Linked DNA regions of Arabidopsis thaliana. The protein of the gene in region 2 interacts with the protein of the main gene of each other region in a pairwise test. Each region holds a gene or a part of one and is shown on either strand. Other genes may lie near its edges. The genes, in order: PABN1, nPAP, AT5G10350 and GATL4.

Evidence for each region.
Region 1: the proteins of nPAP (region 2) and PABN1 interact in a two-hybrid assay, tested with the Arabidopsis thaliana proteins (one study listed by BioGRID).
Region 3: the proteins of nPAP (region 2) and AT5G10350 interact in a two-hybrid assay, tested with the Arabidopsis thaliana proteins (one study listed by BioGRID).
Region 4: the proteins of nPAP (region 2) and GATL4 interact in a two-hybrid assay, tested with the Arabidopsis thaliana proteins (one study listed by BioGRID).

Annotation. Positions count from the first base shown.
Region 1 is NC_003076.8:20,777,501-20,782,276, reverse strand, and holds PABN1 (polyadenylate-binding protein 1), read right to left. Parts: upstream 2,617-4,776; 5' UTR 2,518-2,616; coding exon 2,362-2,517; intron 2,263-2,361; coding exon 2,160-2,262; intron 2,081-2,159; coding exon 1,958-2,080; intron 1,891-1,957; coding exon of another isoform or gene 1,882-1,890; coding exon 1,823-1,881; intron 1,579-1,822; coding exon 1,387-1,578; intron 1,303-1,386; coding exon 1,184-1,302; intron 1,082-1,183; coding exon 1,036-1,081; 3' UTR 720-1,035; downstream 1-719. Other genes in the region: AT5G51130 (S-adenosyl-L-methionine-dependent methyltransferases superfamily protein), read right to left, coding at 1-63, 160-381; AT5G51110 (Transcriptional coactivator/pterin dehydratase), read left to right, coding at 2,897-3,271, 3,596-3,791, 3,870-3,961; AT5G51105 (ECA1 gametogenesis family protein (DUF1278)), read right to left, coding at 4,274-4,645.
Region 2 is NC_003075.7:15,847,720-15,855,239, reverse strand, and holds nPAP (nuclear poly(a) polymerase), read right to left. Parts: upstream 5,469-7,520; 5' UTR 5,107-5,468; coding exon 4,972-5,106; intron 4,875-4,971; coding exon 4,797-4,874; intron 4,471-4,796; coding exon 4,363-4,470; intron 4,191-4,362; coding exon 4,128-4,190; intron 4,060-4,127; coding exon 3,898-4,059; intron 3,562-3,897; coding exon 3,448-3,561; intron 3,367-3,447; coding exon 3,304-3,366; intron 3,223-3,303; coding exon 2,893-3,222; intron 2,815-2,892; coding exon 2,650-2,814; intron 2,513-2,649; coding exon 1,679-2,512; intron 1,571-1,678; coding exon 1,487-1,570; coding exon of another isoform or gene 1,430-1,486; exon of another isoform or gene 1,349-1,429; coding exon of another isoform or gene 1,334-1,348; exon of another isoform or gene 1,076-1,333; coding exon 995-1,075; coding exon of another isoform or gene 974-994; exon of another isoform or gene 923-973; coding exon of another isoform or gene 889-922; exon of another isoform or gene 878-888; coding exon 797-877; 3' UTR 780-796; downstream 1-779. Other genes in the region: PFK6 (phosphofructokinase 6), read left to right, coding at 6,935-7,039. UniProt on the Arabidopsis thaliana protein: Essential protein. Polymerase that creates the 3'-poly(A) tail of mRNA's. Also required for the endoribonucleolytic cleavage reaction at some polyadenylation sites.
Region 3 is NC_003076.8:3,254,090-3,259,839, forward strand, and holds AT5G10350 (RNA-binding (RRM/RBD/RNP motifs) family protein), read right to left. Parts: upstream 3,723-5,750; 5' UTR 3,658-3,722; coding exon 3,547-3,657; intron 3,457-3,546; coding exon 3,354-3,456; intron 3,212-3,353; coding exon 3,141-3,211; exon of another isoform or gene 2,125-3,140; coding exon 1,933-2,124; intron 1,851-1,932; coding exon 1,723-1,850; coding exon of another isoform or gene 1,719-1,722; exon of another isoform or gene 1,634-1,718; coding exon 1,585-1,633; 3' UTR 1,147-1,584; downstream 1-1,146. Other genes in the region: AT5G10340 (F-box family protein), read left to right, coding at 1-956; EMB3010 (Ribosomal protein S6e), read right to left, coding at 4,645-4,883, 4,971-5,243, 5,341-5,449, 5,543-5,600. UniProt on the Arabidopsis thaliana protein: Involved in the 3'-end formation of mRNA precursors (pre-mRNA) by the addition of a poly(A) tail of 200-250 nt to the upstream cleavage product.
Region 4 is NC_003074.8:1,891,942-1,897,073, forward strand, and holds GATL4 (galacturonosyltransferase-like 4), read right to left. Parts: upstream 3,151-5,132; 5' UTR 2,919-3,150; coding exon 1,863-2,918; 3' UTR 1,023-1,862; downstream 1-1,022. Other genes in the region: FRS7 (FAR1-related sequence 7), read right to left, coding at 1-124; AT3G06270 (Protein phosphatase 2C family protein), read left to right, coding at 4,822-5,132. UniProt on the Arabidopsis thaliana protein: May be involved in pectin and/or xylans biosynthesis in cell walls.

The DNA.
Region 1 (4,776 bases), on a different chromosome or scaffold from region 2:
GCCTTCAAACCATTCCTTCTTCAACACTTTAAGCCGAGGATCCTCATCCGTGTCATTGCTTATCTAACACATTATGTTGCCAAACGAATCCAAAATCAGATACTAAACCAAAAGATGAGCAGACTATGAAGGAATTTGAAAATATACTACGAAACTCACTCGGTAGCCATAGTAGTTTCTGTAATTTCCGAAGGGATAAACTTCTTGATTCTTCTTCTTCTTGCTTTGATTACAATTTCCTTGTTGTCCTTGTTGTTGCTTCTGCTTCTGCTGTGTTGGGACTTTCTCTTCATTAGCAACTACTTTCTCAACACTCTTCTCATTCTCATTACTTCTGTTTCTCTTCTTCTTATTCTTCTTCTGATCGTTGTCCCGACCCATTTTTTTCTCACACGCGTTGATGAACAAAGCTCGCGAAGTTAGGGTTTCTTCTATGTTATCGCTATCAGCTAGATTCTTAGAATCGAAACAAAACGATTAAGTCTAAACAGAGAGATTCGACGAAGCTAGCTCCTAGAGAGGTTTTTCTTCGAGGTTAAGCGGCGCAGAGCGAGGAGGAAGAAGAAGAAGAAGAACCGAACCGCCTTTGAAAGTCCAAAAGGGTTTAACGAGTCTCATATTTAAGTAATCCTCTCTTTTTTAGTTAATACATTCTTTAAACCTATTTATGTAAATATACGAAAGTTTCCTTTTCTTTCACCGACGTGGCCAAATTAATCTTAGAGAATTAACTTTTGTTTTTTTTTGGTCAATATGCATCAAATCTAGAACAATGGAAGCTTGCGAGTTATTGTGAAATCGTGACTCGTGTTTGAAGATAATAAAAACAAAGGAACTCATCAAAATGTTGCACTTGTCATCAAATATTGTACAGAAAATCTAGAATATAATTCCCCTCTCTCTTCTGCCATACAATTCTTCAACTCATCTCTGTTAATCGAAACAACTGCAGCGTCCGATGAACCGTGTTGATGATGATAAGCTTTCCCGAAAACGGAGAAGCAGCTGCTACTTTTTTAACACCAATTTGCCTAATCAGTACGGTCTGTAGCGCATAGGCCGTCTGAACCTGGGAACTCTCCTGCACAAACCATCAACCATTGTCAATTTTATGAACAACCATGATGAATCAAACAAATGGACTTTAAAAGAGAGGATAGGCAGGTAAGGTTCTAGAACACACCCATAAGCATATGGAGGATAAAATGGAACTCCTGGCATGAATCCCCTCATCGGTCTAAAGGGACGCCCTCTTCCTCGAAATTGCCTCATTCCAGGTACATTAGTCCTCTTTGCAGATACCTGAAAATAGATTAAACAAAGTTTAGTAATGACAAATCGTAATATGGAAAATAATTAACTACATCGTATTGAACGAGTTTGCACCTTTATCTGACGACCATGTAGTTCTGACTCGTTCAAAATAAGCGAATTCTGAACAGCTTCTACTTCCACAAATTCGACATACGCAAAACCTTTAGGTTGACCAAACTTATCTGTCAGAATTGTAACCCTATTCACTGTCCCACATGATTGAAAATGCTGCTGGACTTCCTCTGGAGTACATGCATAGTCCACCTAATATACACAAAAAAACAAAGACACAGGATATCTAAAGAATCAGCTTCACAGATGGGAGATATGAAGGCTTTCTGAAATATGAAGGAAAGTTAGTTTAGCAATTACTAGAGATAAAGAAATAAACAACAAGCAGCCTCCAAATTTCATTGATACCAAAGCAATAAAACACACAAACTTTCTTTAAAAAAGATACAAACATATATGAGAAACATGTGAAAATTAATGGTGGAACAAGCCTCACATTGCCAACATATATTGAACGCGAATCCACTTCTTCCTTCTCAGCCGCACTAACACCACCTGAAGGGTCTTCATTGATATGCAACAACATAAAAGGTATTGACCCAATTAGCTAACTGACAAGACTCCACAATACTATTAATGATTTCCTTCTCATACTCAAACTCCAGTAAATTTCTAGACAGATTCATTGATTCACTAAAAGATTCCAATATGTAAACCCAAAGCAATATCATAATCAACAAGACAAGCTTTAAACCTAATCTATCAATTTAAAGGTTAATGTGAAGCTGCGCACAAAGATTCAAGATTTTACGTATCAGTTAATAAGTACAAACCTTGACTAGCACCCATATCTTTCTCAGCCTTGGCTTGCATTTCACGCAAAGCTCCAGCTTCTTCCTCAATCTCCTTAATTCGTTTCTTCATATCCTCCAAGTCCTATCAAACAATCAAAGCAAATAACAGACTAAATACAGTAAAAAATAAGAAGAGTCTCAATTGGATAAAAGTAAATTATAGATCGAAGAATCACAATACCCTAGAGCTAGAGCCAGGTTCAAGCTCCTCATCTCCGGCGGCGGCACCTTCTTCTCCGCCGTGTTCTTCGTACTCTTCCGTATCCATCTCACCTTCTTCCTCTTCTGGGATCTCTCCACCGTACACCTCATGCTCTTGCTCATCGTGCACCGGCATCTTTCTCTCTCTATATCTCTCACTCGGCGACTGTCGTTAAAGCGAGAAACAGAAGTCTCGGAATTTTAGGGCTTGAAATCGGGAAAGAAGGGAAGGTTTGTTTGTAATTAAAGATACCCAAAAAGGATACTTTCGGAATTATGAAATCTTAAGTAGATTCACCAAAAGTGGACACAAAAGTACAATCAAACCCAATGGGCTTCTCAGATTAAAACGTGACGTGTAAAGTCGGTCCCACGAAAGTTTATTGTGGTTCCCATTAGTCATTAGTGATTACGTGGCACCTCACCCATTTAACTCAGTCCAGTGGTCTGAAAATCGTTTCGCTCTCTAAAAACCAAAACTCTTATCTTCGGTACAGAGCAAATCACAGCTCCCGATGGCCGCCACGTCATCATCACCGCCGTGTAACATCTCCGCGTCCTCCCTCCTCCTCCGTCAACCTTCTCGCTCAATCCTTAAAGTGTTCGGTTTATTACCACCTGTAAGTAGGAATAACCGTAAACTCGGCCGGTTAACGGTGACCCGGTCTAATCTGGCGCAGGATTTTCTTGGTGACTTCGGAGCTCGTGACCCTTACCCGGAGGAGATAGCGAGTCAATTCGGAGATAAAGTGTTGGGATGCCAAAGCACTGAGCACAAGATTTTGATACCAAACGCATCTGTTTTGTCTCTCTCCCAGCTTCAGTGTTCCCCTGTTTCGTCTTCACAGCCTCCTTTGTCCGGCGATGATGCCAGAACTCTCCTCCACAAGGTACTTATACTATTTCTCTCTTAGTATAAAAATGTTCGAGTTTTGATTTTACAAGTTTGTTGGTTGATCAAAATATTGTGAAAATGTTATTGATTCTGCGTTTAACAGATTTCTAATCTATAAAGATAGAATTGTGACCCAAAAATATAGAAAAGCCAATGAAAATTTTAGTATCATGAGGGACATATTAGGAACAATGGTTACGAGATTAAAAAAAAATGAAATGATTAGTGTTGATAAGGCTCATGTTGGTGTTTTGGTTCACGGTTACCACTCTAATGATGTGGTACATCAATCTCAATGATTATTATGTAAACGTTTTAGGTTTTGGGATGGAGTATAGTGGATAATGAAGCGGGTGGTCTGAAAATAAGGTGTATGTGGAAAGTGAGGGATTTTGGGTGCGGTGTTGAACTCATAAACAGGATCCATAAGGTTGCTGAAGCTTCTGGTCATTACCCTTCTCTTCACTTGGAAAGTCCTACCCAAGTTCGAGCTGAACTATTTACCTCTTCTATCGGTATGTCAAATATTTGATGTTCGAGTTTGAGTTTTAATATATGGTTTCTTAAGACGGTTTGTTGGATGAATAATGCAGGAGGGTTGAGCATGAATGATTTCATAATGGCGGCTAAAATAGATGATATCAAGACTTCTGATCTTTCCCCTAGGAAAAGAGCTTGGGCGTGATCTTCTTTTCATTATTTTGGAACATTTTTGTTTGATAGTATGTAATGTATGTGATGTATTCTAAATTGTGTGTGATCGGTCTACATGTCGAGTTATATAGAAAGCATTGTCATAACCGCATAAGAGATATCACGCAACATGTCTTTGAGATTCATTCATCAATCAAAAGAAGAAAGAACATCAATCATATGGAGCACAATATAAGAAATGAGACATTATTATTAGATTAAGACATTATTATTATCATTTCTTCTTCTAGAACATTCTGGGACTAACAAAAAATTCGAAAAAACACAACTACATTTTTGCATTCTAATAGGCGGTGGTGGTTGGAGGACTAGCCATTTTGGAGCATTGGTGTTTCATCATAGGAGGGAAAAACGGGTTGGATGGAAGATTTGGTAAGCAGTTAGCTTCAGCGTCAAGGAAAGCTTTACAACAAGCAGGACCAACGCCTTCAAATTTGCCGGACATTACGGCTTGTTGAATCTCTTCAAAGCATCCCGGCAAATCCATCACTGTTGACCAACATTTGCTCAAGTCGGGACTTCCTGCCATACCGGGACTTGGTTTGAACGGATTTGGAAACGGGAACATGATTGGGGGAAACTGCGGTAGCTGAGCATTAACGGAGGCTGCGATGCATACAACTACTAGGAGAGAAACAACACTCTTGATCGACATGATGAATATTTGGGGGACTATGCAACAAGAGAAATAGATGACTTGAGTTTTGTTTGATGAGATAAAGTTATTGGCTATGAGATCCAATTTATACTGTAATTAGTTTGGCGAAACGTATTTTTAAAAGTTGC
Region 2 (7,520 bases):
TGAAAACATTGAAAGGGCTACTGTTTCATCTTACTCTTCAAACCTTTGGCATGCTGTATTAAAGATAATTCAACCAAACAAGACATATCTCCACAAAAAGTGTTTGGTCTCGGTAGGAATTCCAACCATTCATGTTTTCAAATACAGAGCTCTTGTACTTATTCATGGTCCTCTATATTTTAAGTGACGCTTTGAACTTGTATTTGGAACTAGCAGATCCGACACATTTAAATTTGAGAATCTGTCTTTCCCGGTTCAACCACCAATTATTCCAATTCCTCTATAGATTTTCCATCATATTACATCATAAGAAAAAAAGAAACAGTGTTTTGACTTTGATATAGATCAGAAACCTTTATTTTAAAGCCTTTCATTGCAACTACTCTCACTTAGTTTTGACAGCATAACTCCAAAAACGAGAGACAAGGAGGCATAGATCTTATATACATAAACCGCAAAATAAAATTAAAAAAACACAAACGATTCAAGTCAAAGCCCTAAGAGGACCAGAGTCTGAAACAGCCGAATAATAAAAAAAAAAAAGCATTCATCATCCAGACATTATATAAATCATTTCAATCTTCAAGTTATGATCCTGATGACGCATATTGAGCTTTGGTCATCATCCAAGCTCACTCAAAATACCACCACCAATGCTTTCTCTGCCTATACCTTCTTTTCTCTTTTGGTTACCTTTTTTTTTTTAACTTAATTCTTTTTTTTTTTTTTGAATTTTTCAAATGTCATTTTTTAACTTTTTTTTTTCTTTTTTCTTTTTTCCATATTAAAAATTCACTTACCAAAAGCTTCTGGACTCTGTCGTCTGTCCAACGCAACAATTTGAGTTGAAATCCCCCGTTTTCTTCACGTCAATAGCCTAGAGGACGTTCACACAGTGGACTTTAAGCTTAACCTGCTTGTGCTATAAAAGCACCAATGAAACCAAATACACAACAAGAATAACATAAAGAAATCATGACTTTGCATAACACACATGCCTTATCTGTGACTTCTGGAAAGATTCTGACCTAGCTCTGTCTTCCGACTTCTCCATCCCGCTCACCAAAGAGTTTGACTAAGACAAGACAAGATTACGAGCAACAACATAAGTTAGTTTTATTCCTTACAAAACTTAATCAAAGAGAGAAAAGTCTAATTCAATAAGTTTCAAGCGGAGTTGCTTTGCAGTGCAGGACCTGCCAATCATATATATGCACTAGTTAGGCGGTATGCAGCAGAAATCACACAAGGCAAGTTATAACACAGCAGAAACATTGACCTCTTAAGTAGTACTGTTTATGGACAACCATCAAATTTCAAACTTAGCTCCATCCTATGTTTCTTGACACTATGAAACCAGTATGAGATTCCATGTAGTGTGGAGAATTGATGCTCGCATATCATTGGACATTCATTTTTAAACCAGCTATTAAATATTTTCAACAGAACTAATCTTATGATAACTACTGTGAGGTAGCTTAATAACCTGAAGGTCTTCCGACATGCCGCTTTGAGAGTACAAGTTTTTCTTTCCCATAGGATCTGAATTTGCAGCAGGAAACCCGAAACCCTGTAAAAACTCATCATTACTATGCCCGGTATGTTCAAACAATTATTGCCAATTTCTGATAACACACCAGAACCCCCAAACATATACAAAAAGAAAAAAAAAACTAACCTCATAATCACGGTTCTGCCCACAGGATCTGCTCGGAAGAAGTGGGGAGTCAGTACCACTGATGGATACAGACCTCAAATTACGATCTAAGTTTTCTTCCTGCCCACTTACACATGCTACCACATCAACAGAGTCAGGTGTTACACACTTTCCCAAAGGCTCAGCAGGATCAGAGCATTCTTGAACTACAGCCATACTATCTACTTCAAGAACTTGCTCGCTGCCAGAGTTACACTCATTTCGAGCTAAGTCTGTGAGTTCAGTACACTCAGTGTTCAAATTATCAGCTTCTATTTCCTCGCTTGGTGGCCTTCTAAGGTTGCAAACAGGAGGAGTCCAACCAGTTGTGATAGCACTATTTTCAGGAGAAACTATATCTAGACTCTGTGGACTAAGAGATGCACGCTTCTCAGGTTTCTCTGGCCTCACATCCATCATTTCACTATCGTTCTTTCGCTTGGCATGCCTCTCCACCACAGAGCCGGAATGAGAAACACTGCCATCTTCACCAGATTTTCCACCCGGTAGATTTTGGTGCCTGGACTGCCGAGGCCTTCGATATCCATTAGGGAAAACAAAAGGTGGAAGCTGTCGTCTACGAACATGAGAAACGAAAACATCCATCCCAGGTTTCCAAAACATATACATGTTTACTTCTTGTCTGAACTCATCGACAGTACCACGTATATCAAACTGTTGACATTCTTGACCCCCAACTCCCTCTGCCCTCTGCAAGCCCATGAAAAAGGCACAATGCAGAAACTGCCTAGCCGTGTCTACATACTCATTTGGTTGGGGATGGCACATTAACATCCCATTAGTGTCTCTTTCTATCTGCATTATTGAATGAAAAGAAACAAAATCGAGAAACATTTAATAATTTTATATTTTCTACCACAACAAATATGATTAAACACTGATATACAGCAGGTTTATTACTGTAAATCAAATGAAAAGAGGAGGCTATCAACCTTTAAGGTCAGCTGTCTGAACCGCGACTCCACCCAACCCTTCCAAGCCAATAAATCTTCTGCATCTGCTGCCACTATATCAACCTGAAGGTAGTTTTTGTATGCCTCGAAAAACATATATTGTTCAAATAAAGAGCTCCAGTGCTGTTTATTTAATTCAATCTCCTGCATTAAAAATCATGCATAAGTATAGGATCCTGAATAAATAGTTGAGATAACAAGTCAAAAGTTTTGCTCACTTACCTGCAAGATATTGTTACCAAACTGGAACTGCTCTGTCATAACGCGAAGAGTGCTTTGAGAGACATTGTAACTAGAATTCATGCATGGGTAAGCTGGAGTTATTATTGGCATAAGGTGATAGCGGTCGCGATGATTCTTACGACGGTCCCAGACAGGAAATCCAAGCTCATCCTCTTCTATTGCACAAAGCATGACTGGGTTCGGCCACCGCCATTGAGTATATACTCTAAAAAAACGAGAAACCAGCATACTAGGAATTGCATTTGGATAAAGCTGGCAGACACGAGCAACCAAAAGTGCCCAGTTTACACCGCCAAGAAATCCAGTCACCTGCCCAATATGAGAAATATGACAAGAGCTTAGACATGAAAGTTTTCAATAAATACGAATTTCAGAAAGCTATGATCTTACATTTGAATACACCCCACGCTTCTTAGCCCAGTACTTCAGGCATCTTAAGGTTGTCCGGAAGTGCTACAATTGCACATAAGATAAGAGAAGGTAACCATAGTTCATTCATATGTTAACATAATGACTGGCATTCTGTGAGTTTACCTCAAAATTTGGAACGAGTTTAAGAATCTGATCAGCAACTCTACAACCATTAAGACTTCGAACGGTTGGCTCATCAACTTCACACAGCACAGAAGAGCTGGAGATATCCAGATCCTGTCGATAAACCAAATCCATGAAAACAAGAAATTTGATTCAGCAAGAGATTGTAATCTACCATGACAGCTCACGGGCTCAGTTTTCATATAAAAATCAAAACCGATGCACCAAAATAGCCAGCAAACTTTTCAGATCTCTCTCTCAAGCCAGAAACTACTAAAATAAATTTGTTTACTATATAAGCCATTGAGGATGAGTAATACACTATCTGTCTCCATCAACATGCAAACAAGCACAACATATAGCATAATATATACAAGCTAATATAAATTTATCAGACCCTACAGCTTCAGCAAAAACAAAGAAAGATACAATAAATTCACAGAAAATTACCTGTGGCACAACTAAAAGTGATATGCTAGCATAGAGCAGATCAATCGGTATTCCTTGAAACTTAAATTTCATGACCGGAACATGGGCATCGGGAACAGGATGGAGCTCAGTCACTTCTTCCATCTCAGCCAATATATCATGCAAGATGATGAAGAAATCCTCCTGTAAAGAGTAAGTGTTAAGAACTAAAGAATCAAACTTCTGCATCAATAAGTGGTAGCAAGAGTCACCTCCCGGTTAACATAAGATGGCCCAACACACAAAGTATCAATGTCAGCCCCAGGACCATGCACCTGCAAAGTGAACAAAATTGAAGTCGGTTCAGCCTCAGAGACTAAGATTGCATTTGCATAGACAAAAACAGAGCGATCTCTCGAGTAATCCACAAACATATAGCAAAAAACATATTATACGCATTTTAGCTTCAAGATAAAAGCAAGGAAGCGGTAAACAAGTAGCACTTACGCCAAGTCGGTAGGATCCAAAGGTGAAAATGACAGCATTTGCATCTTCCACCATCTGATCAGTATATCCTCTTTGCTGCGTTAACTGTTTCACCCAGTGCTTTACAATCTAAAAAAAAAAGGTGGGAGATAAGATTGATAGTTTCAGACAAATAGCACAATGAACAGCATGTGAAGAAACTTAAAAACAGCAAAGTAAATCAATGGACATAAGAACATATGCCTGACCAGTCTATTTCATATTGAACTATGATCTATGCTTAGCCCAAAATCAACAACCATACACGAGTAAGAACCAATACAATGAAACCTAAAAGACCATTATAAACACAATAATTTTATTCTTGTCGATTCAGACACCCAATTAGCACAACCATCAAAAGATAACACTTGTAAATATACAGAACAAACAATCAACGAGACACGCTGAGTCACCTGATCGATGCGTCCTAGAACTTCCTCTCGCCGCATGGTATCATCCTTGCTCTCGTAGAGTCCCTCATCAACCAAGTACTTGAGCATATAAGAAAATACACATCAGATAAGCCAAATCAACGAATCCTTTAAACAGTGGAACAATTTTTGTATAAACAAAAAAACAAAGCTTTACCTTCTCCAGCTCCACATTACGCTTAATATCCGCCGAAGAAGGCCCAGCAAGAGAGAGCGGCTTCGTAATTCCATAGCTTTTAGGAGAATTCAGCGGCGGCAACGAACCACCTAAATTTTGAGTACCCACCATCATAACACGATTGATAATCCTAAGCGATCAAAGCAGAAGCGCAGCACAAAAACATAATCTCGCTTCACGATATGATTAGAGGGAGATCGGATCAGACCCCCAGGTCAAGATGGATTCGAGACGGGAATTGCACAAGGAGAGGAAACAAATAAAAAGGAGATTTTGAAAATCGGAAACCCTAAATCGATGGAAGGGGAAAGAGACTACGGTGTCAAAAAAAGTCAAAGAAGAAGGAGAATCTGAAAGAGGTTAAATCGATGGACTAGGAACAGAGAGAAGAGAGAAAGAGAGAGAGATGATGGATCAAGAAGAAGAAGGAGGTATGAGGGAGATGGAGAGAGAGAGAGAGCAAAGGTTGGGGAAGATATTAGGTACACGGCGATTCGATTTTATAATTAAATTTTGATTAGTGGATTAATGTGTATGATTATTTTACGGAGGGAGCCGATAAGTCTCCGTTCAAAACAAGAAAACATTGTAATCATTTTGAAAACAAATCTAAATTAGATAATTTTGTTCAGATTTTTAATTTAAAGATTTTAATGGGGTTAGTGGGATTATTGGTAACTAGAAATCATGTGTCGATGGAAACCAACTGATTTAAAATCACCATCTGTTAATTTTAATTGATAAAGTTGAAAACTGGTGTGTTGTTTATTAGATTTTGATATAATTTTGATACTATATTGGATTTTAACATATTAAAGTGTTTTTAAATAAAAGATACAAAAGTTTAGGCTGTATATACAAAAGTTTAGGCTGTATATACAAACATGAATTTCAATTAGTGATGTAATAATGGATTTCCTTGATTAAAAATTACAAAGACCCAATTCTCATGGTTTTGTGAGATTGCAAATATTATTTTTTTTTAGTGAGGGAGATTGCAAATATTTTTAATAACAAATAGTAACAACTTTCCTAACTGTCTAAAACTTATCAAATTCATCTAAAATTTATTAATACTCGAATCTTTTCTTTCCAAATATGTAATTCATTATACTCCTAATTGGAGAGGAAACTTTATTATTTTAGAATCCACTTGTTTGATATTTAAATCCTAAATTGATTCATGAAGATTTGTAAAGTTTAGATTGATTTGTTAATCAAATAAAAAGTTTAAACCGATAATTTGATAGTTTAAAAATGATTTTTTCGGACAATTGTGTATTAAGATCTTTTTTTTATACTTAAGCGTTATAAAGATTTGTAAGATAAATTTTCTCCTCTCAGAAATTTGATTTTTAAGCTAAAATAACTATTCGATCTATACATTAGCTTGACATTATTATTTTTACAAAACAAATCAGTTTTTATAAATGCTATTTCTCAACAGGATATGATATTTCTCTCTTTGTCATGAACAATACCATATACTAAGAAAAAATGATTTTAAAAAAAAAAAATCTTAAGAAATTAAAGAATAGAAAAATTGCCTATATATTTTTGACACCAAATAGAGAAATTACTAAGAATATATTTCGTAAATATTAAGATATTCTTATCGTTTAATTTTTGTCATTTTCTTTAAAGGTATAATAAAGATAATTAATGAGATTTTATCCATACTTCTGCATTTATCCACGAATCAATTATCTGAAAACCGGAAATTGACAAAAGGAAAAACCAGCCGCCGTTTACGCTGGTATTTCGGTAATGTCCGTATATCATAAAGTAACGGTGAGCCAAAACGACGTCGCTTTCTCGTTCCTTACTTCTATACCACTCTGAGCTCTGAGAATTAAAACTCACATACATACATACGCTTCAAATTCACAGTCGCTTTACGTCACCGGAGAGAAAAACACTCAGAAGAATAAGGTTTTCTTCGATGGCTTCTAATGGCGTGGACGAGCAGATTAAGTTGGTGGAAGGACCTGCTGGTTATGTACTCGAAGATGTTCCTCATTTGAGCGATTACATTCTCGATCTCCCCGTACTACTTCCTCTCTCTATCTCTATACGATTCCATCGATTATTCTTTGAAATCGACATTTTCATGGATCGGTGGTTATACGATTTACGAATTTGATATTGTTGCCGATTTGGTGGTTCGTGTATAGCAAATGCAAAAGTTGTGTTTGTATAATTGGTTTCGCCTATTTTTAGCCTATATGTTGATTCGGACTGTTGATGAGATCCTGGTCTCTATCAGGGAGAGAATTACATAAATATTTATATTCGTATTAGTGCATACAAATGTGAAATGTTAAATCAATGTCAACGTGGAAATTGATTGGTGCACATATGCTTACTCGTCACCGAATGTTTGATTAGATCTATTAATCACTTACTATTTTCTAAATTTGATGCTAATGTAATGAGGTTCTTATACATGTAGAGTAATGGAAGAATTGGATTGTAAATTAGTCTTGCCATGGAGAAAAAAAAAAGCTTTTTGGTTCATATTTCAAATC
Region 3 (5,750 bases), on a different chromosome or scaffold from region 2:
CCTTATATGATCCTTGTGCTCGTCAACAAGATCCAAGCATAAGCAGCTTTGAAGCTCTGAGAACTTTTTTGGTGGAGTCATCTGCAGCTTCTGTTCAGATCCCTACTCCTTGGGAGGACAAGTTGTACTTCGTTTGCAATACTAGCTGTGATGGTCTGATATGCCTCTTTAGTTTCTATGAACTGCCGAGTATTGTCGTCAATCCCACCACTCGATGGCATCGAACTTTCCCTAAATGCAACTATCAACTAGTCGCTGCCGACAAGGGTGAGAGACACGAGTGCTTTAAAGTCGCATGCCCTACTCCTGGATTTGGCAAAGACAAAATCAGTGGCACTTACAAGCCAGTTTGGTTATATAATTCCGCTGAGTTAGACCTAAATGACAAGCCTACTACTTGTGAAGTTTTCGATTTTGCCACCAACGCTTGGAGGTACGTTTTCCCCGCGTCCCCTCATCTGATTCTTCACACCCAAGATCCTGTTTATGTAGACGGGTCACTTCACTGGTTCACTGCCTTGTCACACGAGGGCGAAACCATGGTTTTGTCTTTGGATCTTCACTCCGAAACGTTCCAAGTCATCTCTAAAGCTCCCTTTCTCAATGTCTCTGATGAATATTATATCGTCATGTGCAACCTCGGTGATCGTTTGTGCGTATCCGAGCAAAAGTGGCCCAACCAAGTCATATGGTCGTTGGATGATTCAGACCACAAGACATGGAAGCAAATATATTCCATAGACCTCATTATCACCTCTTCTTTGTTCTTTAGTGCCATATTCGCATTCACCCCACTAGCAGTTTTGGACAAGGACAAGTTATTGTTTTATGATAGTACACACGGGGATGCATTCCTAACACATGATCCAGATACCAAATCTTATGATTTGCCTTACACATCTAATCGCTGTGCAACTGTTGTTTGTTATTTCCCGAGTTTAATTTCTATTTTGTAGACTTGAATGATTGGTTATTTGTCCAAGCATTCTTTTTTGGTCGTTATTTGTCCAAGCATTCTAGTTTCTGATTAGTTTACTCACTGGGTTATGAATTACTATGTTTTATCAATATCAACATCACATTACAAATTTTCATAAATTTAATGTTTTGATTATACCATACATCAAAAGTACTAATGACGAGAAGAAAAAACATTATTCTTTTTTTTACTCTGTAATCATCGATTCTCCAAACCGAAAAGATAACAAATACTATAAGGAATAAGGGATTTGATTATACCATACATCATTGATTAGTAAAGGTTAGCTTCTGACTAAGGGATTTTTTGCGGAAACATAATAGCTTCTTACAAAGGCTTCTCTACGTAACATCAATCTTCTTGTTGGTATACTTATTTAGCCCCCTTTGGATGAAAGAAAGTACTAACAAAGATATAAACTGAAAGTAATATCGACCAAATATAATCATAATCTAAAGAAACAAAAGCTTATAATCTCATCCGTACATGACAGATTCAAAATTAAGTTCAGGTGCGAGCAAAGTCATATTCATATATAAAGCTCGAAATGGAGGGACGACCTCGGCATCATCTCTGTCATAGTTCTTCTTATTCCGGTACGGTTTCTATTGGTAAGGCATGTACCGCATTGGCCTTCTGAACCTAGGAGCCTTCCTGCACGAGGCATTGCCGAGTCTCGTGAGACGAAGAAGAGAAAGCCATTTGTGATAAACTGATGGTAAATATGCAGAGTTTAAACTTACCCGTATCCATATGGGGAATAAAAATACGGAGGCACAAAGGGTCTGCGAAAGCGGTATCCCATTGAAGGGTTGAAACGCCCAGGATGATACTGTTTCATTCCAGGAACATTGGTTCGCTTAGGCGAGACCTGAAATGAAAACCAAAAGAGAAGAGTTGAGATCAATGAACTGTCCATTTCCTTCAGTATTGGTCTTAGTACGAGAAGATACCTTCAGTTGACGACCATGAAGCTCTGATTCATTCAGCTGCAGAGCTTCTTGCACGGCTTCCACTTCTACAAACTCCACATAAGCAAATCCCTTTGGCTGTCCAAACTTGTCCATTAGAATGGTTACCCGGTTGACTGTTCCGCATGTTTGGAAATGTAGTTGCACTTCTTCAGGTGTACAGGCATAGTCGACCTGCAGGGTGGATAATGAGGTCTTAGTACAACACAAGCATTCTTATTACAACTAAAACCATGACTTACTGAGAACGTAACAGATAGATAAGTTAACCACCCCACTAAGGGAAGCCAAGAGACAAACTTGTGTGTTCTAAAGCAATTTTCCATGTCTAACATTAGACCTAAGTTATGTATGGTACATAAACGCTATGAAAGTCTTCATTTTATGAGCGTGAGTTCAAAAATACATGATAAAAGGCCAGCATCAAACTGCAGCCTCTCGCGAAATCCGCAAACAACCAAACCTGTATTAGCTCCAAGTATCCTCCCTGCGGAGCTTTGGGTCTTGTTTAGAAAGCATCCAGCATCTTGGCATCTTGATCCAGCTCTTCAGAGTTCAGAGACCATCTCCTCAAGGATAACAGAAACCTTGCTTTCTAATCCCACCCAACTCACTCAGACTCCCTTTTTCCTCTCAAGAAATCCTTCTTTTTTTTTTCAAGCTCATGCAATATTTTTCTCCACATTTTTCTGCTATATCTTTTTTTTTTTTTTTCAAATTTTTTTCCTTCTCTTTTCTTTTTACTTTCAACATTTTTTTTATAGCTTTTTTATCATCAAATTGCACGGGAAGAATGATTTTAACACTACAACAAGGAAACTAGCAAAACAGTCACAAAACTTAGTTGAGAACCCAGAGCTATTAAGAACTTCATTTATGAGAACAACCCTGCGATTATATAGGACATAGAGGTCAAACTCTTCAACTAGAAACAATAAAGAACCTACTTCACAACATTAAATTTAGAGAAAGCCTCTTGATACAGATTCTAACAGTAATCTCAAGGGATAAAGAACAAAGCTAAGACACAATTGCAAGCAGTTCTTTTATCAAAGATGAAATTTAAGTTAACAAAATAGTCAGCCTAAGCTAATCCACACTAAGATTGGCAAACAGATCAAAGCCGTTTAGATGAAACAATGATTCAAGCACAGAAGAGATACCATGAAGTAGAAAATAAGCTATCTTACATTGCCAACATAAACTGATCGAGCATCCACCTCCTCCTTTCCTTCTTGATTTGCAGCCATACTAGCAGGATCTGAAACAAATTGTTAAGCAAGAAACAGAAGTTCAATTTCCTAAAAGTAATCTACACAATCAACAGATTCCTCCTAGTATATCAAATTCAAAGATAGTCTCGAGCAAACGAATTCAAAAAAAAAACGAAAGAGTCACAAAACCTTGAGTAGCTCCCATTTCTTTTTCGACTTTTGCTTGCATCTCTCGTAGCGCAGCAGCTTCTTCCTCCATCTCCTTTAATCTCCTCTTCATCTCAGCAAGCTCCTGATTCCATGAAATCAAAACACCAAAAATCAAACAGATGTATACACACGATATACAACAAAATCAAAATCGAACGAAGCAGAAGTAGACCGTAACGGCGTCCTCATCGGCTGCAGACATATCGATATCCGGATCGGGAACATCCGTATCGCCGACTTCAGGGATTTCTCCACCGTAAACCTCGTGCTCTTCTTCCTCCATTTTTGTTTCCACTCTTCGGAGCTCAAGCAAACGAATAAAGCTTCGCTTTGGTGAATGAAAACGACTTGCACACTTTTCCTACCGATCCAGATAGGTCGATTGCAAACAACGACGTCGTCTCGTATTGGGCCTCGGTTACAAACTTACAAGAGCCCATTATCATAACACTCTAACTGAATCTGAAGGTTTTGATTTTTCTTCAAAATTCAATTCGGCCCATCATAGGCCCCAAACATTATGGAAGAAACAGGCTTGTGAATAATTTATCAAATTATATCATGGATCAAATTAAATTTATGGACCAAATTAAGAGGTCTGTGAAATAATACTGCATAATATGGATCAGATTAATTTATATCAGAGACAAATTATCCACAAAAATATGATACAGTTTGATCCAAATTATTCCAAAGGTATTGATAAGAATGACTTTTCCCCAAAACATATCTACAGCCATTTGTTAAATAAATAAATTTTAATTGCAGTTAAGCAAAGTTCTTCGTCTTCTTCCAACCTTTTTAGTTTTTTACTTACCACTGTTGTAAAACAGAGGATTTCGGCGAAGATGGCATAAGGAGACAGTAGAAGCGATTCTCCGACTCCATAGTCTCCGATCAACACCAGCTTGAAGAAAGGAGTCAGTCTTCAGCGACGGGTCTCCATATTAAAAGAGTTTAATCGAGATTGAGTTTTGGTTCAAAACATTACACTTTTTGGAAAAAACACTTTAAAGGTAGGTCATCAGTTTATCTAATAATGAAGACATCTGGTCATTTACTATCAACAAACGGGCATATAAATAAGAACTAAATATAACAAACGTACTACTAAGAGGTTCAAAACTTTGATATAATAAAAGGCTTGAAAAGTTGACACAAAACAGAAACCAAAAATAGTGTTCAAAATGGCGTTCTCATGTCTGTGGAGCAACTTAAATACGACCAGAAACAAACTAGAGAGAAAGAAATTTCTTAATCTTGAGGCAGTTTAAGCAGCAACGGGTTTAGCAGGAGCAGAAGAGAGTCTAGACCTCTTCTTGGCCAAACTTTCACTACGGCGATCACGCTGCTCCTTTAGTCTGGAGGCAAGAAGCTTCTGGTAATCAGCTGCATCAGAGTTAGCCTTGGCGATTCTCTTCTTCTTGTCAGCAATTCTAGCTCTCTTCCTCTGGAGGGTCAATGGAGTCACAAGCCTCTGGATCTTAGGAGCCTTGCTAACCTTCTTGCCTGCACATGGAAGCCTCATATATTAGTAAATCATCAATCGTATAAACAGTTTTCAATTATCTCTTTAAGTGAATCTAATTTTCTTACCCTTCTTGTTTGTGAAGGTACGGCGGTAAGTGTTAACGTACTTCCTCACATCATCCTCTTTTCCAAGGTTAAACAACTTGCGGATCTTTGATGCCCTCTTGGGACCTCTCATTCTTGGCTTCTCAGTGTCGGTAAGCCCGGGAAGATCACTTACACCCTTCTTCACAATGACCAAGTTAAGAACAGACAGGTCAGGGCTCACAATGCAACCACGGACAGACTTTCGTCTCCTCTCTCCAGTCCTCCTTCCGTGTCCTCTAAAACAAGGAGTACCTAAACACAATAACCAGATCACATAAATAAAAAACACAGAAGATTAATGAAAAAAAGAGAAGCTGTATAATTTTATCAATGGGGTGGAATCTAGTACCTCGGTGAAGCAAAAGACGGACACGCCCTGGAGTGAGAACTCCTTGTTTCATTGGGAAACCTTGCTTGTCACATCCTCCCATGATCTTGAATACGTATCCCTTGAATTCCTGCAAATAGCTCAAAACACACACAATTCTGTTAAGTATACTGAACTCACAAGACATCAGAAAAAAACACTGAACCAGGAGAAAAAATTTCACCTCGCCTAGAGCATCTCCGCTAACTTCCTGAGAGAGCCTCTTGTCGAAAAAGGCGCGGCTGCATCAAAACAACAGAAATGAAACTCAATATCTTTACCAAAATCGACAATGTTGATTTTCAGATTCAGAACTGGTTATATATCAGACCAACGCAGTAAACATCATAGATTCCAGTAATGCATCAGCTATAAACAGATCCTAGCAGTGT
Region 4 (5,132 bases), on a different chromosome or scaffold from region 2:
CCCTTGCTTCCTCAGCAGTATCAAACTCTAATCCAACATAAGGTTCAAGACCAGAATCTCCTTCGTTTTCAGCAATGCCATTGTTAGTCCCAACCATTCCTAATGGATAAGTTTTGACAACCATGTTGTTCCCACAATTTAAACTGGTAGGTTCAGTATCTGCACTGCATCAAAACCAAATGTACACAGACAGTTATCTAATATGCAACCAATGTCAGTGATGCGAAATCAAACTACACATTCTTGGACACAGAAAACAGTAAATACAAAACAAAGACAGATAGCTACTGAAAGATTATGTATCTCACACCTAAGCTTAGATCTCTAATTAGCCTCGCATTCTTTTTTTTTTTTATGTAACCAAAAAACGCAAAAATGGAAAACTCCTAAAGAAGAAACAATGAGAAGATATAATCAGACAACTAGAGAAGTGCAGATTAATCATAACCCGTATCTGAATTTAATTGAAGCTAAAAAGAAATGAAATTTGAGGGAGAAAAAAAGACAAAAAAACTAATCGAAACACATATCTGAAATGTATTGTCCTCCGAAGATTACCTCTCCATGTCCATAGAAGCGACCGAATCAGGAAAGAAAACGCAAAACCCTTCCTTTAATTAACACGACGGAGATTGCAAGACCGCTCGGAAAGGCTTCAAGTTTGTGTGCCGATTAGACTTCACTTTGGAGTCTCTCAATTCTTGACCCTCTTCACCATTCTCTTCGTAGAGAAGATTGCAACAAAGAAGATACACAATTTAGGGCTTGAAACGAAGAAGAAGATAGACAGAGATACATATAGAGATAGAGAGAGAGAATGAGAAGAAGCAAAGCAAAAAAGCTCCACCTTTATTTTTGACCAAATGTAATAACATTACTTAAAAAATACTCTGTTTTTTATTAACTTTCCAAAGGACATGGTCTCGAGTCTCAACTCAAATTTAATAATAATAATAAAAAAGTCATCTTTATCATTATAAATTTTACAGATTTGAAAAAAGGAAACACATTTATTCTTCCCCTGAAGATACAAATCGATTTCGAGGATCGGAGGTATCTAGGGTTCTTCTGTATATCAATATTTTTCTCTAATAATCAGCTGAGGTTGGTTTGCTCGTCCTTTAGTTTTTTTCCCGCGTTATGTTAGTTACAAATCAGAGAATCCGTTAGTTAGTGATTCGCCATTACCAGACACCGGAATCTAACCCAAAGAAAGACACGAAATTGATCGGCGGTGTAAGCTTGTCGTCGGGAATTCCACTAAACCGAGACCGAAGCGGACAAAACTATACCGGCCAAAAGTTCCTTATGCTTGCTTGTTGGAGAATCCTGCAGATTTGTGACGTCTCTCGCCTTAATTCTGGTAAAACTTATTGTCTTCCTGTTTTGTTCTGGATTGATGTAGATTGATTTCAGACAGCCACTGTCTGTAACCGGAATTTCGAAACAGTGTCGCTAGTTTCTGTGTCGGATCTTTTTTCTTTAGTGATAAAGTTTTGATGATTTGTAAACAATTTAGATTCGATTCTCTGTTTATAAAAAGAATGAATTTAATCCTCCATTTTGTTTGTACCTATGTATATTACACGAGGAATATTCTAAAGGTTTGAATCAAAGAGAGGGAAACAAAACCGAAGAAAGGAGAAAAAAAAAATGATGATGATGATAATACCATCTATCTCTTCTTGTGATGAAACACACTCTGAGCTCAAATGCACAACAATGTGTTTAACATTACAACTTTTTTTCACTTTGTAATGAAACATTTTTGGCTCTCTTTGATCGCTAAAAACCCCTGCTTTCTTTTGTATCTTCTCCTCTCCTATATGTGCCATGTTTAATGGTTTTTTTCTTTTGCCTCTCTACTCTTCTAATGAATGTCTTGATGAACGGTACAGATCATACGGTGCCCATAGATGATCAACGATACAAGGCTTCCTTGAATCTAGTCTTAACCATGGCTTCCCTTTTCCACTCCAGTGAAGAAGACTTATCGGTCCCGGATGCAACGTTCTACATCTTCCTTCGAAATTATCACCTCCTAGACCATGCTGGTTCCACCTATGATTAACCGCTTTTATATCACCGGCGAATATCAGCAGAAACGGAGGTAATGATCCCAAATGGTATATCCTCTTCTGCTTCTGAATTGTCATCCACTCTTCTACCTTCTGTGTATACATTCCTTTCCTCCATTTGTTTACATCCACAACCATCACCCCTGTGTTGAAATAACACGGACGTTTTCCTTCAAGAACTTTGACCAATACCGGGTCTGACCAGAAAGTTCTTGTGAAATAATGGGTGAAGTTTGCGTGGCAGTACTCGGGAGCAGCCACCACTTTACCTTCCATCTCCACATGCCACAGCTTCTCTATGTCGTCTACCACAACGAGGTCTGAGTCTAAGTAGATGATCCTGTCAACGCTGCTAGGGATGATATCCGCGAGGTAGATTCTTGCGTAGTTAAGAGGCTGATCAAGGGCTTGCCTGATGGATTTCGATATCTTGCTGCGGACGAGGTTTGGATCAAACTGATAAATCTTGAAGTTTAGGTAAGGAAAGGTTGATTTGATGCTGGTGAAAAGGTCGTTTTCGAAATGAGGAAGGGACAGGAAATGAAAAGAGAGGTTTTCAGGGCAAGTGGAATGTTGAAGGAGAGACAAAACGGCAGCCATTGTGCCACGGAGGTAGTTTGTGTCGAGAGTCATGGCGATATGAATCTGATCAGCCTCACGAGTCCCGCATTGATCACCGTTTCGAAAAGCCGGGGCTTCTCTGAAAACAGGAAGAGTTGGAGCAGAAGGCTTATGAAGAATGACTCCAACACGAACCGCCATAGTGGTGGTTGTGACCAAGAGGAGTATAAAGGACAGGAGGCCTAGGAGTTGTGTATAGGAGAGGCTCCTTGAGGCCATCCTGAACCTAATTCTCAGGTAAACTCTTTTATTATTATTTTCACTTTTTTTTTTAATTTTTTTTTAAAAAAGGTTTAAACATTACAAATTAAAAAGATTGATTAGTTAATAGAGCCATTGTTAGGGAAAGGCTAGAATAAAGGATTTGGGGAGAGGCTTGTTTTATTAGCAGTCTAAATGTGGGGAAGAGATTGAACTTCGGACTGTTTCTCACACAAAATTTTGTCTCCAAAAAAAATCCATTTCCTATGAAATAGGAACAAGACAAGTCTGTTGTCCAATGAAATCGGAGTGAATTTTTAGATTTTGTTTCTTCTTCTTTAGATTCTTAGAAACTGGTTTATGTTTTTTTTTGGAAACAAAAATTATTGTTTATTTTTAGGACAAAATTGGTCTGATCAATTTGCTTTGCTGTCATTTCTTTTTACACTTGATTGCGTCGGCGGGTTTTTTTTTTTCCTTTTTGGAAGTACCAAAATTAGAATACTGTAACAAACTCCCCTAAAATGTATTAATGCATGCTTTTCATGCAAGAAAATAATGATTTTTATGTGATCAAATCCCTGATAACATCATACGATCTCATCATATATATAGTGGTACTGGTAAAATCTGTAATTCCAAAAGTTAAGTAAAATAGTAAGAAACTAACTTAAGAAAGTGTGTGTTACTCCACGTTTCAAGAAAAGAAAAATGTCTTATATACTCCAATCTTCATGCATGGCTACTAAGACAGTCGCGTGTCAATCGGTCATTCTCATGCCTAATACTAATCCATATATATAAATAATATATGAACCAGAGAGAAGATCTCTTGAAACTCTTTCGATTACAAATATTTGAGTTCAAACTTATTCTTTCACCAATACTAGCCATTTGCAGATAAGACAAATAGAAATCGAGTCGAATCTTTCTTGCTTGAGTGGTAGAAGATTTCTTTCTCTAGTTCCATGTAATTGGTCTAAATCAGTGAACTCATAATTTCATGTACACAAAAAAAAAAGACTGTTTCATAAACAGTGGATATATGGATTGGACTCACCATGTCATACATGGTCTCGAGGTAAATTACACTTACTAAGTAATCCTTTATATTTTACATTTTTTACCATGTTGTATGGTAATGTGATAGCTACCTAATTCACAGGGCCTTAGGCCCATTAGGTTTTCAATATTTTCATGGATTATCGGGTCGAGAAAATGTTATGATACCCGACCCGAAACGGGGAGAAAATAAACGAGAAAAGTAAGGAATTATCTCGAGGAAAAGAAAGCATCGATAATCTCAAAAAGTTTTTGGTTTGATTTGGGAACTCGTGCGCGGCTGTGGCAGAGGCCAAACCCACCCGTGTACTCCATCCGTCGGATCCACCAAACCAATATTCTTTCATCTCTCTCTCTCTCTCTCTCTCTCTTCTTCTTCGTCTTCTTCTCTTTTTATTCTTTCTTCAGGAACAAATTCCTCTGCTTTGGGCATTTTAGGGTTTCTCAAATTTTTGACGCTTTCTCTTAAAAGGGTTGACGAAATAACCCTTTAAGGGAAAAAACAAAGGTTGAGGAAGACCACCAAGGTGAAAAAAGAAAGAAGAATTCGAACAACAGCAGCAACAAGATAAAGTTACGAATTTTTCCTCTTTTGTAACCTTTGTTTCTCTTCTTCCTCTTCCTCCATTTTTTTCCATTAAAGATTCTGCCTTTGGGTTCCAATTTCGTCTTTCCTTTTTCGATTTTGCCGCGTTTAACATGACATTCGCAAAACCCTACACTTTTCTGGACGCCATTGTTGAATCCCACGAATTTCGTTTCCCTAGAGATTGCTTGTTCTAGCCCCAGCTTGAAGCTAAAGATTTTTCAAGGAAAGCACGTTTTTTTGTTTGTGCAATCGAATCTGTTTTTCTGCGTTATGGGTTGTGTTCAATGCAAATGTTGTAGCCGATATCCTTCGTCATCATCAGATGGAGATTCTCGTGGACCTTTAGAAGCCAATGGTGTTCTTAAGGGGAAAGATCAGAAACCTCTTGGATCTATTCACGTTCCTTCTCCTAATTTCGATATGGTTTACTCTGTGTTATCTCAACGAGGCTATTACCCTGACTCACCTGATAAGGAGAATCAAGACACTTACTGCATCAAAACAGAGCTTCAAGGTAACCCGAATGTTCATTTCTTCGGTGTCTTTGATGGTCACGGTGTGTTGGGTACGCAGTGTTCGAA